3 linked regions of the Schizosaccharomyces pombe genome follow. Changing the gene in region 2 together with the main gene of any one other region gives a genetic interaction. Each region holds a gene or a part of one and is shown on either strand. Other genes may lie near its edges.

Region 1 (4,308 bases), on a different chromosome or scaffold from region 2:
GGAAAACAAACACTTAAAGTAATCCAGTCATTCGTCCAAAAACTTTTCTGAGAATTCGCAGTTTTAACAGCGTTCTTACGCATCTATCCAAACGAACCTTATTTTTTTTTCTTCTTCATCGAACGAATCATACAAAAAACATCAAAAAAAGCGATTAATCAATTCAATGGTGCATCAACAACTCTTTCTGTACAAGTGTTGCTTCATAAAGAGGGTTAAACGACTTTACTTCTTGGGAACAGTCTGACGATTCTGAAAGGCCATCATGCTGCCGATGTATTGGCACAGATACTCGCTTTCTCGACTAATGTTTTCAGATTCCTGTTTGTTTTGATCGATCTCATCCAACAAAGCTATCAATTGTTAGTCTTTTCTTTCTCCAAAACGCACCGCCATCGTACCTTGCAATTGCTGTTGCAATTCCATCGCTTTCCTATCAATTTAGCAAAGAACTAGCAAAACCACTTACTGCTCCATCAAACTTCTTGGCAAGGAATCTGTACTCATTGAGTAATGCGCTTTTTTTGTTTTTTTGCGGAAAATGGGAGGTTGGGAAGTGTCTTACCAGCGTAGCGTCAATACATGTCATTTCCCATTGCTGTGACTTAGGGGTGTCACTCAATTTAAAGAGGCCACTGCAAGAGACATTATCCTTAATTGAGTTGAGTATTGCTATACGCAATATTTAAATAGCGTTTTATGTCATAATACGTTTTATTAGCGAACGGATTACATTGGAGTACGCAACTGATGGGTCTTGCAATAAACAAATATACATAGGGCGAAAACTAGAATGAGTGCTGCTGTCTTTTGGATGAATAAGTTAAATATGGAACATACTAATAATGGATCCACACATTAATAAACTGGAAAAAGATCCCGTCCCGTAAGGATAAATCGAGGAGAGAAAGCTTGCGTCTGTGCCCTAATTATGTTTTGAAAAACATGAAATGCACACTTCATACACCAGGATGCGAAAGTCTTTCAACAATTTACATGGGAAAAAAAGAAAATAATAATCTAATAGAACTCCGTTCCAAAATATGGAACGTTGGTACAAATGATGCGTTTAGGGCGATTGGAAGAGGCATACAATAGATGCTTCTTCCCTCCATTATGCAACGGAAAGGTCGACGGTTCAAAAATGAATTTAAATAAAAGATGTGTTATGAAAAATGCTTTATGGTAACAGGAAAAAAAATGCTATTCCTCTTTTCCCATTCCATAGTTTTTATTCTCACACTATCACCAGTCATGAATATTTTACATCGAAAAAATAACGGGTAGAGCGATATATATGCGCAAACTAAAAGAGAGTATACAAAAAAGTAATCATGTTCTTTATCGGATTAGTTCTTGTCAATATTAGTATTAGCATTCAAAAAATAGTCCGATTATCATTTTACTGAGACGTCTCTGGTTTCTCCTCAGGTTTCTCTTCCGCAGCTGAAGCATTTGCAAGAGCCGACTCTTCTTCTTCTTCCTCTATATCAATTTCTTCTTCTTCTTCTTCTTCCGATCCTTTCCCATCATTTTCTCCTTCTCCATCACCATCACCTTCTCCATCACCGTCTCCATCGTCTTCCTCCTCCTCCTCCTCATCGCCTTCTCCCTCTTCATCGAATTCTTCCTCCATTTCATCAGCTTCCTCCTCTTCTTCCTCTTCGTCCGCGTCAGGCTGAACTGGTGGAGCATCGTCAAAGTCGGGATTATCCCACTGAATGTTGAATCGAGTCACCCTTGGCTTTTCTGCTAAAATACTGCGCCAGACTTTAGAAATGTCAACCTTGACCTTTTTAATTTCTGCATCGTCCATTTCCTGAAGGTTCAGGCCCTCCATCTCATTGTTGACATAATAACCTACTCGAACAAACTCATTATCCTCATATGCACAAGAGAGTAAAATAACTGTGACACCCAAAACATCGCTGAGTTGAGGTAAAAGATCGATATTAGGAGGATCAGCTTCAAAAACGAATTTATTAATCCCGATTGGTATAGGTCCCACTAGTAGCGTGTCCAAAATTTGGTCGTAACTTTGAGACGTCGCACTACCTACATATGTCAACTTCCATTCCAGGTCGCTTTTTAACGGCTCCAGACATTCAAAGGTAATTTCGAATTTATATGGATCAGAGAACTTTGCCGGATTATTTAGCACATTAACACTAAGGATATTCACGATTGACATTTCGAAGTGAAACGCGTCTAAGCGATTGCCAAGAACAGCGTAGGTGAAGAAAGGTTTCGTAGAGTTCGGATAATTAAGGATACGCTTGACTATTTTATATCGCTTTTCGTGCTCTAAGGTAATAACACCTATTTGATTCAAACATATAAGGATTAAAATGCAGTAAATATAAATACTGAAGGCACATCTAAACAATGCCTCACTATTCGGTAAACAATAGAAAACATAACCATTGTTAAGTATTTTATGCGAAAGTACGAAGAACTTACAGAGCAGTTTAGTTAAACATAACCGTTGTTTAATAAAAATTTCTATTTCATTAATAATGCATGCAATGTACAATTAATATGATCATCAAATTTCATTGTGCAAAAACAACTCGTATGTGAAACATAAAAAATAGACATAACCTCCTTCATCTCTAATTATTAAAAAAGATATACAAGCGGATTAAAACATATATTTAGGGTTATTGTAAGTTCCTTCGATCATTCGGTTATATAATATTGATGCAGCTTAACAGCAAATCCGAATGACTTGTTAATGATGTGAATTTCCATCAGTATGGAATTGTAGTACCATCATAGTTGAAAAAAAATCCATTATTTTCGGGCTTCAAATTGTCTACAACTTTCAACATATCTGAAGCGCTTTGGTCTGGTGCCAAGGCCTGTTTCGCAAAGATATCTAAAATTTCCGGTTTCGCTTCAGCATGCTGATTTACAGCTTCCTGAGCTGAATCGGTTCGAACCATTCCGGGATGAATTGAAATCACTATGAATCCTTCATCTTGTAGCTCAAAACTAATTTCCTTCATTGTAAAATTTAAAGCAGCCTTGGATTGGCCATAACCAGATTGGTTAAATGGGAAGAAAGCACCCATGGATCCAACTAATGATGAAGTAAAAACAATGATTTTAGATTCTCCTTTCTTCACAAGAGGATAAAAGGCTTGGTAGACATGAATTGGTCCTAAAACATTGGTTTTATAGTGAGAGTTCCAGACATCATCAGGAGTATTCAGAACAGTGTTGAAAGAATGAAAAATGCCCGAATTTACCCAAAGAACATCTACTTTACCTACAGCTTTTGCAACTTCTTGAGCGGCTTCATTAGCACTCTCTAGAGAGGAGATATCTAACTTAATAATATGCACATTGGAATGAGACTTGCTCCATTCTTGTAATTCAGTAGCAGCTTCAGGCTTGCGGGCACTTGCAAATACAACTGTTCCTTCTCTGTTGCTCAATTCCTTAACAAGAGAGAGTCCAATGCCTCGATTTCCTCCTGCAATAAAGTAAATTTTGTTGGTAGTAGACATATTCTAACACAATATTTGAATGATCCTTGAATCCGTTTGAAAAGTGTAATTTGGTGTCGGCAATTTATCATTAACTTCGTGCTTATATACCAATTCTTCAAATCATTATGCTTACGTGATTTGAACCGTGAATTTTGATGCTTACATAATTGAATATACTTCCAAAATCAGCAGGTTCATAGTAGTTCACGTAGAGCGTTAGGTGATATTTTGCCATATAATATGGATATTGCAACTAATCTTTATAACCCGTTCCATTGGTTTGTCAGCTGCTTCCTTGATACTGCTTGCATACTGAATAGTATTCCTTTAAATGCACCTTTCTTTTAATTTCCTTGATAAAGTATCATAAAGGGAGAATTTATTTGAAAATTGTTTAATTGATAATGCTGAGACATTGGCCATAGGAGAAAAGCGTTGAATCAGGATACAAAAAAACAACTCTTTTAAACCTTGAAGTCCTTTCACAATAAAAATTATTAAACAAAAAAAACATAGAAATAGAATAATTTTAAGATAAAATATAAGTTTGCAACCGATTTAAGCATTGCTGTATGAACACTTGAATTTTTTATATGCGACGCCCTTCTTTATATATCCAAAGGTTGAATAAAACGTATCAAGATCTAAAACTGCTGAACAATCCAAGTGGCACCTTGGACTCGCTCAAACTTTTTATGCTCGTAAACATTTGTAAGAACATATGAAATTAACAAAAAACAATTGTTTGAACAAATCATACACTGGAATCTAGAGAGCAAAGTACCTTTAAAAGGGGATATCAAAACCGTCATGA
Region 2 (6,900 bases):
TTGAGGACTCCATTCTCCCCTTAGAATTAAGCCCTGGCTGCCCGTTTTATAAAATATGGCATATAAGGAATACTTCTTGTCAATCGTGGCCTTCTCCGTTGTATGTCAAGTTTAATGGTGGAGACAAACTTTTTCCAGGAGACAATCCATATTCGTTTCCTATCACTTCTTCCGTTCATCCTGGTGAGGATGTTAATTTTACAGTTGCTTTGAAGGTTCCTGAAAAAAGTAACAAAGAGATTTTTACCGCATTTTTTAATATCTGCTCCGATGATGGTAGCGTTTTTCACAAAAGTCTTTGCGCCTTCCTTCGTGTACCGAAGTCTTTTAGCAGAATTAGTAAGTCGTCTTTTTGAAACCATTCGTAACGCTTTTTATGTCCTGTAGAAGTTTAGTGTGGAAGACAACGATAACGAAACTGATTTCAGTTTTATATTTCTTTCTTTTGTCCACTTGTCTGGCGGTTGTTCGTATATAACCGCCGGTTTTAAGTTCATGATTTGCTTCAGAGTTGAATCACTTGTTACCATATTTGATCCTACCTTGTTATAATGATCTTGATGGAAATGCTATATATGTTTAAAATTTATATTAAAAATTATATATTAACGAATAAAATGCAGGATACATATGAATATGCCAGATTAAATAATAGTATACATTGATGATAAAACTCTAAAGAGTTTTTGCTTCATTAATTATGGATTCCTTTATGATTACTTTCGATGAAAGTTCATTAGTTTTGGCACTGCTTGATACAGTAGGTTCCTCCTTTTTTTGTAGAAACGAGTTTAATCTAGCCATAGCTTGTTTTTTGATGTGAAATGGTTCTCGTGATTTGCTAAGCGAATCTTTTAGTCTATAAATCGCTTCCTTATTTCGTAACATAGGGCACGTGTCCCTTCCACTAAAGTGAGGTGTTCCACATAAAAAGCATATTTCTAATGGCACAATGCTTAATGGACAATGTGCTGGTAAATGTTTAATACCACAACATCGACAACGTACATTATCAGACAAAGAAGACAGTAGAAAAAAGTTGTCAAGAACTGCTTTAGACAAAGATCTTCCAACCAGTTGATGATTTTTTTCAATTATTTCGTAAGGTGGGTAAAAAACTGGATCGTCTATCAGTTGCATTTCCGAATCATTAATATACTCTGAAGAAGTTAATTTGTTAGCCACCTCTAAATTGATGGTGGATAGAGTTTTGTTAAATTCATCTTCTTTGGGAGTTGTTGCTAATAGAGATTTAGCTAAGATAGAGTCAAAATGAACATCTGCAGACTTTTGAGAATCAGATTCATCATTTAAGTTTTCGATATTTACGCTCGAATCATATTTGAGTTTTTGCTTATCAGATAAAGTATCTGTTATCGAACTGATTGTCTCAGTTTCTATGGGAAATGGGGAGCCTGGTGATGATCGATCATTAACGGTATAATCAGTATCGTCGCTATTATCATAAATATTTAAATCTTCGCCATAATGGATTTTGTGGTGTGCACGAAGTCTCCTGTTGGAAGTTGTTTCGTCTGTTTTTTCTAGCATTGCATCCTTCTCTCGTTGCTTAAGTATTACTGACCAGACATCTTCTTCATCAACAAGAACATTTTCTTTGACTTCATAATGATTGGAAGATATATGTTTGTTATCCCAAACACGAAAAAAGCCAAACTTATTGCTTTTTATATCTGATTCATCAGTTGAAGTATCTTCTTGTTTCTCAGCTTCTGAGATAAGTAATTCTACCGAATATTCATTATACTTAATAGACGGTTCATCACCAGCCTCTTCAAATAATGCACGAGCCCCATGCCGCAAGATACTTTCTAAATCTTTTTCTGAATTATGATTTTGATCCAATGACTCAACAATTAAGTGGTCCAATACAAGCTTCTTTTGAGCGTTTTGAATGATTTTTTCCTCTACAGAATCTCGAGTAGTTAACACAAAGACAAGTACCTTTTTTTTTTGCCCATATCGATGAGCCCTTGCAATCGCTTGCATGTCTTGATGAGGATTGAAATCAGGATCTAGTATAATAACAGTGTCCGCACTAGCTAAATTGATGCCAACTCCACCAGCACGGGTAGAAAGTAAGAAACATGACAACTCAGAATTAGGAGCATTAAAAGAGTCGATTGCTGACTGCCTTTCCATTTCCGATGAGGCGCCATCAAAACGTGCATAGGCTATGTTTTTATATTCAAACCAATCTTCAAGGATATCGAGTTGCTGGATAAATTGAGAAAACAATAATATACGATGCCCGCGAGTTATCAATTTCGGTACCAATAAGCGTAATATTAAAAACTTACAGCTGGCTTCTTCCAGTGAACGCATAGCAAGTTCATACGGGAGATTACGGTCTTCAATATCTGGTGAATAAATGTACGGATGAGCTAATGTTTTTCGAAGTTGCATCAAAATGTTGTTCAATGAAGTAGTCCTTTGCCCTCCAGAAGAACTGGTATTAGCATAGCCGGTAATATTACGTAGCAAAGACAAATTTTTTGAAAGAATCGATTTGTATAAACCTTTTTGAACAGGTGTCATGGACAAAGGAATAATTACTTCAACCTTCGTAGGAAAGTTATCCAGTACTTCGCTTTTCACTCTTCTTAAAAAAAACGGCTTTAAGATTTGATGAAGTTCAGTCACCTTTTCCGTATCAATAATGCTGTATCTTTTTTCAAGCTCAGCAGCATTTATTTTCATGGGATTTAAAAACTGCAGTAAATTAAAAAGTTCCCGAACATTATTTTGCAATGGCGTCCCGGTTAAAAGAAGCTTAAAGTCACTTTTAACCGAAGAGAGGTAATAAAAGAGGGAAGATTGATCATTTTTTAGTCGTTGTCCTTCGTCAACAATTAAAACTTTCCACTGAAATTTTCGGAGCAATGAAATTTCACGTTCAACATTTGAAGCACTTATAACGAGGACATGAGTGCTTACATGTTTTGGGTCTTTTTGATTGATTAGACGATAATCACGGACTAAACTTCTGTTTTTTTCAGAGCCCACGAGTACATTAATTTGTAGAAAGGGAGCCCATTTTTTAAGCTCTCGTTCCCAATTTGCAACAGTGGCATGAGGGACAATAACCAGTACCGGGAAGCATTTATGTCTGTAAAATAAAACACTAATGAAAGATATTACTTGTACAGTTTTACCTAAACCCATTTCATCAGCTAAAATACAAGGATGATGTGTGTACCATCGTAAATAAAGCCAGTTCAGCCCTTTCAGTTGATATGGCATTAGTGTACCACCTTTGATAAAACTTGGTTGAGAGTGCCACTCAAGATTAGTAAATGGTAAATCAATATTTATCGAAGCTGTAGGGGCTTTTTCGATCCATAGACATTCCAACAAGTCCGAATACCCTTTTAACCACGCTTTCCAGCGATTTCTATCTGTTTCTTTAGGAGGTGGTTCCCAATTTGACATATAATAAGTTAAACCACGCCAAGAAACAAAGGCGAATGTAACTTCAGAAATTGCCTTCAGTTGATGTTTTTTTGTTTTATATTTTGCCGTTCGAGCATTCTTTCCACTTCTATATTGAACATCCCAAACCTTATCGATTATTGTATACGATACTGGAATAATGGGCTTAGTTGCGTCGTATGAGGCATTCTCCAAACCATCGAAATTTTTCTTTTTAGCTAATGAAATACCGGCTAGCCATGAAGCAGAACACCAAAAACAGTGAAGGTAAGACTTACCTTTGCTTCGAACGAAATACTCTCTAGACCAAAAGCTCAAGTCCGATGTACTAACAAAATTATTTGAAAGGGTAGCTTTTGAAGGATATAAACTGTTTAGAGTTCTCCAAGCAATTATCTCTTCAATATCACAAGGATGCATAGAACATTCATTACAAACAAGTTTTTTTATAAAATGAGTAATTGTTCTCTGAATAGACAAAGGATTACTGTCCAGATAAAAAAAATATTCGACACGCCTACATCGAAAACACCGAAACCTTATAGACTTGCAGTAATTGACTAAAATTGACAGAGATTCCCTATCAGCAAGGGATGGGGGGATAACTAGATCCTGTCCAGAAGAAACGCCTGAAACAAACCCGGTATTACACAAAACGTCCTTAGAGTTTTTGGAACATAAAGGACATATAAAACCATTTTGCTGAGAGTAATTACGCGTTTCTTTATTTAAAGAAGGGAGTGGAGAACAGTCATAGTGGTATACATTTGAGCAATGATCACAGTAAACAAAATTTTTACCAGAGGAACGATGTTCACGTCCATGACATTTGACACATACACAGACGTGTAAAAATTTGATAAAATCAAATCCGTCAGAGTAAAGAAGTGAGAAATAAGGAGCTTTATTATCGTTTTCTGTGGACTCAATTTCCGAAGAACTTAGATCGGAGCTACCAAAGTCGGACGTGTCATTGAAAGATAAATGCGACAACGATAACTCATTATGCTCTTTTCTATTAACCTTCTTATTTGTATCAGATGAAGATGAAGTTGCACTGTCAGAAGCCGTTTCATCACTGACAAATGAAGGATTAAGTGCGCAGTGAAATTCCTTTCCGAACTTAAATTTCTTGGTACGTGTTGAGTCCCTTAAGACTTTACTACCATTAGACTTCAGTAAATAATCATTTTTCTCTTCCTCATCCTTATCGGTTGAAGTCATATACCCATGGTACCTCTTTCGAGATTTGTGTTTTAACCATACTCTTAAACAAGCTTTTCCATTTTTATATTTATCAAGTTCATCTTTTTTTATCAATGCTTCAACACCCGCCAAGAATTTAACACTCAGTGTGCTGTCATTTTCGTGCAGTATTTTTTGAACGGTGGTTTCAGACGCGTCATAATAAGGTAGTAAAACATCAAGCGGTTCACGACGTACTACTATTTTACATAAAGAATCATCTTCTTTTGGCATGCTTTGAGATGAATATCTAAATATTCTTGGTAAATACTGTGTATTTGGAGTTGTCCTTAAATTTCACTACGTAACGCAAAGAGAAAGAATTACCAGTAGTAAACGGTTATAAACAATAGCTATTATACAGTACATTAATAGTAACAAACAAGTTTTAATCTTTTAGATGTCATTTTAAGCACGTACAAACCTTTGATGACTTCTTTGACCCTGATGGTGGGTTTTAGTAAAATGGTTATTAGCATTCGAATGAGTACGCGCGCGTTGATGTTCATTTGTCTGAGGAAGAGATTGCTGCTGTTGTGTAAGTTGAGTGTTAGAAGAAGCTGTAGTCTGGGGAGCTGAAAAAGCTACTTGGTTTGTTAAATTTACAGCAGGCATCATAGGGACGAATGCAGCAGCATTCATAGCATTCATTCCTTTAGGAGCCATATAGGTATTTGCGGATACAATGTAGGGCGGTGGTGGACATCCTAAGTTAAAGACATTATATTTGGCTAAAATTCGGAATATTAGACTTCGTATTCAACAAAAGTATTATAAAGTAATAACTTACGAGGAAACGCATAAGCATAAGGAAGGTCTAGCGAACCATTCCCCTTTTTTAAAAATCCAGAGGATGCCCTTTCTTCAAGTTGTTTTTGGGCTTCTTCTTGAGCTACTTTCGTATAGTAGTCCTGAACATTTTGTATATGGGCTCTTCCAGCATTGTGTGCTTTTCTAACTGATTGGCTATCATGAGTGAGCCAAACTTGGCAGTAATCACACAAATCTAAGCATTAATTAGTTTTCAATTATTGTTATTCATCGTATCATACATCTTGGCATTTTAGCGTGTTTGGCTGTTGTTGAGTCTTGTAATAAATGTGAGCTGTGTTGAAACGCTAAAATGATTTAAAAAGAAATTAATGTCAATTAGCAACAACTATACAAAGAACGTTCATAGTTAAACATTGAATGTTAAATTACTGTTTATCTATGCTTTACAAAGTGTTGAAACGAAGCTCTCGAATTTTCAACTACTTTAAAATCCAACGCCTTGAAGAGTCGGGAAGGTGCAATCATTTAATATTTTAATATAATTAAGTTACTGCTGTACTTTCAATATCTCTTCACGATCAGGGCTTTTAAGTACCAGACATTCTTGGTTATGCATTAAGTGTTGCATTTGAGAGAACAATTGTAATTTGGAGTATAAGTTATTTATTGAATTTCATTTATTGTCATGCTCATTTCAATGAAATAAACTTCTCATGAGAAAGCCAGATATAATCCATGTAAGGTGAATACTCACACCTTAACCAAAAATTTTTTGCCTTTACTGAAACTATTAAATTTCCATTTGATAGTTAAATACTTGAAGTGTTTTATGTTTTATTTGCTTTTAAACTGTTAAATTGATTGGGAATATTGTGAAGTAAACTACTGGCCGGCTGTTAAGTGTTAAAGAAAACTGTGCTTGCCATTATTACATTGCTTGTCAATATATGGACATGACTGTTTCAAACCAAAAAGCAGAAAGTGATGATGGTTCAGACATCGACGATGCGGCCTTGTTACAAAAAATTAATTCTTTACCGATTGACCAGAGTATCACAAATTCGGTGAGCTTGGAAAAGCATGATTTTCAAGGAAGTGATGACCATGACTCCTCTACGGATCTTTCCGATAGTACTTTGGAAGATGTGGAAGGAAGTGAATGGGCAGACGTATGGATTGAAAAGTTTTTTTTTAATACTTTTTACTAATAAAATTTAGGTGAGCAGGGGTAGATACTTCGGGTCAGATCCCTCAGAAAGTATAGTTTGCCATAATTGTAAAGGGAATGGTCACATATCTAAAGATTGTCCTCATGTTCTGGTATGCATTTTGATCGGACATTGTTTTTTTAATAGTGTTACTAACTGTATTACAGTGTACGACTTGTGGAGCAATTGATGATCATATTTCCGTAAGATGCCCCTGGAC
Region 3 (5,178 bases), on a different chromosome or scaffold from region 2:
AATTAGTCAACGTCGAGATATGGTTACAGAATGGCAAACACGGCCCGAACTCTTTGTATTTCTACTTTCAACAAGGGCAGGTGGTTTGGGTATTAACTTAACTGCCGCTGATACTGTTATTTTTTATGATTCAGACTGGAATCCTAGTATTGATAGTCAAGCCATGGATCGAGCTCATCGTATCGGTCAGCAAAAACAAGTCACCGTTTACAGATTTATTACTCGTGGAACCATTGAAGAACGGATTGTTATACGTGCTAAAGAAAAGGAGGAAGTACAAAAAGTGGTTATTTCAGGTGGAGAAACTCGGCCAACTAAACAAATGGACCTTAAGGGTAACTCAAGAGAAATGGTTTCATGGCTATTAGAAGAATAAATGGTGTGTGTATAGCTAAAGTTTCGTTAACCCGTTTTATTAAAAATTACTTAACCTAATAGTACATCAATTTTTGCATGGAATTTAATTAGCTAAATATTAACCTATTAATCAAAATGCTATACCGGTCCAGTCCAGGGTTATATAATTAGATGAAATGTTGTAAACAGTCGACGTGCATTTAGACACAAATACGGCTTCTATGTCTGGAAATTAAAGATTGTATTTAAAAAAAAAAATAGTATTAAAATATTACATCAAGGAAGAAAAAAAAAACTAGACACCAGGTATTAAAGACATGCAATATTTGGAACTATAGTATGGTAGACGTTGCTACTTGTCGCAGTTAAAAATACTGGCGATTAAGCAGCTTTTTTCGGGGATTCGCCAATACTGGGTGAATCTGTAGGAGTTGTAGTCGCAGTGCCAGAACGCGATACAACTGTGTCCAAATATCGAAATGCCCAAACTCTCAGCTTTCGCTGCTGAGAGTCTGATAATTCATCTGGTAAAGCTTTTTCTTTTTTGGATAGAACTAACTGAATATGCTTTTTCAAGATAATTTCAGTCATTTTCTTTACTCTCAATTTAAATTCAGCTTTACCAAGCTTCTCTTGGTATCTAGCTGTTTTGTTAGCAAAAAATTTTGCCAAAACTGCCTTAAAAGCAATGCTTTCAGGACTATGCGAAGTTAAATGATGATCAATTGTGGCATCCTGAGAGCTTTTCGTCTTCTTTTCATGCAACTTTTTGGCATGTCTTTTCAAACTTTCTTCGTAAGCAAGACGTCTCTTTTCTTCTCTTTTCTGCTGAGCTATTCTTTCTTCTTCCTCCTTCTGTGCCTTCAACACATTTTTCTGATTGACACTCTCCATTGCCGCTGAAATAATCTTGTTTAAATCTACTTTATTAGCTTGATTGCTGACTTGTTCTTGCTCATTATTTGGTGTAGTTGTTTCAGAAGGAGTGTCAGAGTTAGAAAGACGACGACGTTTAGGGAAAGAATTTTTACGAAAAAGGTTGTGTTTTGAATGGCTTTGATAGTCATTTCCAAACTTGGAACGTGAACGACTATCACTAGGCCTAGAAGAATGTAATGCTGGATGTTTCTTGCTCAAATCTTCTGTTGAATTATTGATTGCAGATTTTATATCTCCCTTATCGCCACGTTGTGGTTCCTGATCCCTTAAAGGAGGATTACTTTGATTATTGGAGGGTTCTGCGTTCGTTGACTGTGGAGCAACTTGACCAGGCTTCCTTCGGGGAATTCGATAAGCTATCTCCAAAGATTCCCATTCTTTTAAAAGAGTTTTGGCATGATCTTTGACCTCCTCGTTCTCATGGTCGCAAAACTCTTGAACAACGGGCTCAATATTTGAATCTTGGATTTTATTTCTTGTTAGGCGTGGCCAAGATAACATGGTTTTTATAGAACGTAGTATAAACTCAATATCAATGCTGAACTTCTTCAGCATCAAACCAAAAATGTTGTAACCACGTAACGCAATGATCGAACGGCATACACTAGGATCTGAAGTCAAGAAAATGCGTTCCATTAACTTTCTTGTTAATAAGTCATCCTTAGTTTGCAGGAGAACGCCAATCACTTTAGTAGCAGACTCAGATGTCAGAGGAGTAGGTTGCACCTCTTCAATAATTTTGCTAGTTTCGTCAATTCCCTTTTTACGACGTTGTCGACGTGCAGTGATGTTTTCCCAGCTATCCTCTTCATCTTCAATACCAAGAGCCTCTCGGACATTCTCAGGTAGTTTCGATTGAGCCTCAGTTTGCGTCTTTCCGCCAATATACCCTACACAGCAAGGTTCTCCGCAATAACAAGGTTGGGCTTGTGCACCATATCTATCGACATTATAGTCAAAAGTAAGCTCTTCACCGCGAATAATATCTCTTTTACAAAATATACCCATTCTTAGCTTATCTCCTACCATCCATTTATCAACATAACAATTAGGTCTACAAGAGTGATTGCAAAATCTTGCGAGCGACCCCCTTTTAGTAGCATCAATATATTCCCCCTTTTGCAGCATCATGAAGTAAAAGTGTTTAATTCCCTCACTATCGTATTGTCGCATACGTTTACGAAACTTTTGTTCAGGTATAACTTCTCCAATGTATTCGTAGACAAATGTGTCTTTGGGTAAATTGGCATCAGCGCGCAAACCAAACCCTTTCTTTTCGGTTAAGAAAACATCCACCTTTGCAAATTCATGTCTTTGAAAGCGTTGGTTTTGACAGGATGGTCCACAAACGTTATCTTCGTCCGTACACTCTATAGAAGTCATTCTATTAATACAATTGGATCCGTGCCCACAAGCAACATTAACTCCATCTACCCAATGAGGCCGACAATCGCAAATCATAGCTTCGTTTTCTGGAGGCTTACCAATATTGGCGGAAGCATACTGACATTCTTGAATCTCTTCGAACGTAGTTAGCGCCTTATCTTTCGCAGAATCCAGGTGATGAAAAAGTTGAGGAGGAAGTGCCTCTTTTCTAACATATTTGCTTTGAGACCGAGAGGATGCAGACGATGGCGAGGACGTAGAAGGGGAAGGAGCACTTTCGTCTTTATTCATCCCTTCGGCATCCTCTTTACTTTCGAAATCATGAGATGACGAAGAAGATGGTGATGAACCGACTGCCTGGACAGCGATTGTGTCTTTTGACCAAGAAGACTTCCTATCAACGTTTTCCTCATTCAAAGGAGTTAAAACAGAAAGAGATGATGCCGTCTGCATTGTATGATAATGGACAAAAAGAAAGAGAAAGTTAAAAAATCTACAGTTTTATTGAACAAAAAGTAATTGCCGAAGGAAGCCAAAACAATAGAAAGAAGACCAGCTGAAATTTCACCGAAAATCTTCTTTTTAGAAAATTTCCGAAAATATCTCGATGCGTAACATATAGATCTTCTAACGTTTCAAAGTTTCGTGTCAAAGAAACAGTGAGATCAGGAAATTGTCTCAAGGAAGAAGTTGTGGCTGTTGGCGGCGTTCCTTCTTTACTCGCGGAATCCTCGTAGGGGCTCACAGTACCGGAGTGTAAACGACAACTCTTGACTTTAGTGTTAAATATTAAAGAAACCTATTAAAAGAAAAGGCTTTAAAATCTTTACTTTCATTTCATTCAAGCATCTACAAAAAATCACCATCACGCGCAACATTTGAATGCCATTCTTTTCCAGAAATTCCATAATAGTTGTTGAAGAAATAACACTGTTAGTGTAATAAAATTCACTCTGTTTTTTACACTCGGCGCCTTATGTAGCGAATATCTTTGAATTAATAATATCAATCATACTATGTAACTGTAGTAGGTTGTTTATCCAAAAAACATATGGTACGCAAAGATAGACACTAATTATCAACAATGAATGAATAAGAAAAGCTTTTTCAACGAATATTTTGAGTGAGGCAGTCAGCGTGCTCATACTGGATAGACCCAGAACAAGTAAGTTTACAATATGTTCAATTTACAAATCCAAGCATGTGGTATTGAATTATATTTGGTATTCTTTTTGTTCCCTTGGTCTTATTAATGTAAAATCATCATCTACCTGCATCTATTGAAGCAGTAATTAAACAGAAGTTTGAGAATCGGTAAAGAAAGAAACTAGGAATGTATGTAATAAAGTCATTTTATTTTGAAAATGCTCATCCTGTTAATTCTAGGTAGATTCTTTATTTCTTCAAACCCAACCACTTTTGTTAATATTGTTTAAACACATAATATATACATTGGCGAAATTGAAATAATGCTAAAATTTTGTCAGAGCATTAGTCATTGTTAATTTTAAAAAGCTATTAAACAAAAATAAAGGCTAAGAAAAAAAGATAAACCTATTCCATATGTTTATATATGTGTATCTTATCTTAAAAGGTCTTTAACTCAAGCTATACTTACTACAATCTATATGCAGCTACTTGTCCTTCATGGCACGACGGTGCCAGTAAAGTTAATAAGAAAACCATACCGAACAGGGGCCAAGTTACGATGAGACAACATGTGAAGAACAAAGGAAGAAGCGATTTCAAGCTTTGCAAAAGGTTTGACCAAATTTAACGAACAAACGTTTCAGCTGTTACCTTGAAAGCAGTTGGCAATAAAAGAGAAAGCGAATTTAATTGCTTTAAATGTTTTACTTTAACTCTTAGATATAAAGAGTGCGGAAAAAGTGGCAGAACCACAAGAAAACAAGATCTCAATCGCAAAAGCAATAAAACTGCAATTCCAAATTTTGTAGATTTTCTACCATTTATGAATAACGTGGGTTAGTGAAATGTAAAGAGATCCGTGTTCGATAGGCATTCCCCAGACAAATTTGACTGCTTTAAACGTCACAAAGCCGAGTAGCAAACGCTCCCACAACCAAACACTACACAAAGGTTCGTCGACAATTTATTTTGGAAAAAATGCACAGCAGCAAGCGAGTTATGACCACAAAGACTCATGTTGAGCAGCCTGAGTCTTCAATGCGTCCTCAGCTTCCCGAAAGCATTCAAGGCTCCTTAATGGACGTGGGAATGCGGGTTCGTAAATCAATTTCCACCGGATACAAGTCGAAACAAACCACGTTTCCTGCCTATAACCCACCGCTTTACAACACTGTTTCTGAAAACATTGCTTTAAAAAATACCGCATTTTCTTATGAGCCTAACGGTACTAAGCGTCCATTCGAGCAAGCAATTCCTAATTATAACTGGGCCAATCCTCCTCAAGACTTTGAAGAACCGGAATGGTTGAAGCCGTTTGACGTTGTCATGGAGGGTACCAATGAGAGA

The links.
Region 1: of mit1 (region 2) and asf1, changing one enhances a phenotype caused by changing the other (phenotypic enhancement), as found in Schizosaccharomyces pombe (one study listed by BioGRID).
Region 3: of mit1 (region 2) and set2, changing one enhances a phenotype caused by changing the other (phenotypic enhancement), as found in Schizosaccharomyces pombe (one study listed by BioGRID).

What each region holds. Positions count from the first base shown.
Region 1 is NC_003421.2:1,642,365-1,646,672, forward strand, and holds asf1 (histone H3-H4 chaperone Asf1), read right to left. Parts: upstream 2,221-4,308; 5' UTR 2,192-2,220; coding exon 1,403-2,191; 3' UTR 538-1,402; downstream 1-537. Other genes in the region: SPOM_SPCC663.18 (GTPAse-interacting protein), read right to left, coding at 226-353, 402-433, 470-507; osr1 (dehydrogenase), read right to left, coding at 2,751-3,512. UniProt on the Schizosaccharomyces pombe protein: Histone chaperone that facilitates histone deposition and histone exchange and removal during nucleosome assembly and disassembly.
Region 2 is NC_003423.3:980,100-986,999, reverse strand, and holds mit1 (SHREC complex ATP-dependent chromatin remodeller Mit1), read right to left. Parts: upstream 4,933-6,900; coding exon 676-4,932; 3' UTR 578-675; downstream 1-577. Other genes in the region: protein Nbr1, read left to right, coding at 1-356; U1 snRNP-associated protein Usp103, read right to left, coding at 5,107-5,429, 5,489-5,704, 5,751-5,760; TRAMP complex zinc knuckle subunit Air1, read left to right, coding at 6,420-6,641, 6,691-6,792, 6,848-6,900. UniProt on the Schizosaccharomyces pombe protein: Required for proper positioning of nucleosomes at heterochromatic loci and for transcriptional gene silencing (TGS) function of the Snf2/Hdac-containing repressor complex (SHREC).
Region 3 is NC_003424.3:5,407,680-5,412,857, forward strand, and holds set2 (histone lysine H3-K36 methyltransferase Set2), read right to left. Parts: upstream 3,387-5,178; 5' UTR 3,136-3,386; coding exon 739-3,135; 3' UTR 501-738; downstream 1-500. Other genes in the region: SNF2 family ATP-dependent chromatin remodeller Ino80, read left to right, coding at 1-376; spd1 (ribonucleotide reductase (RNR) inhibitor), read left to right, coding at 4,810-5,178. UniProt on the Schizosaccharomyces pombe protein: Histone methyltransferase that trimethylates histone H3 'Lys-36' forming H3K36me3. Involved in transcription elongation as well as in transcription repression.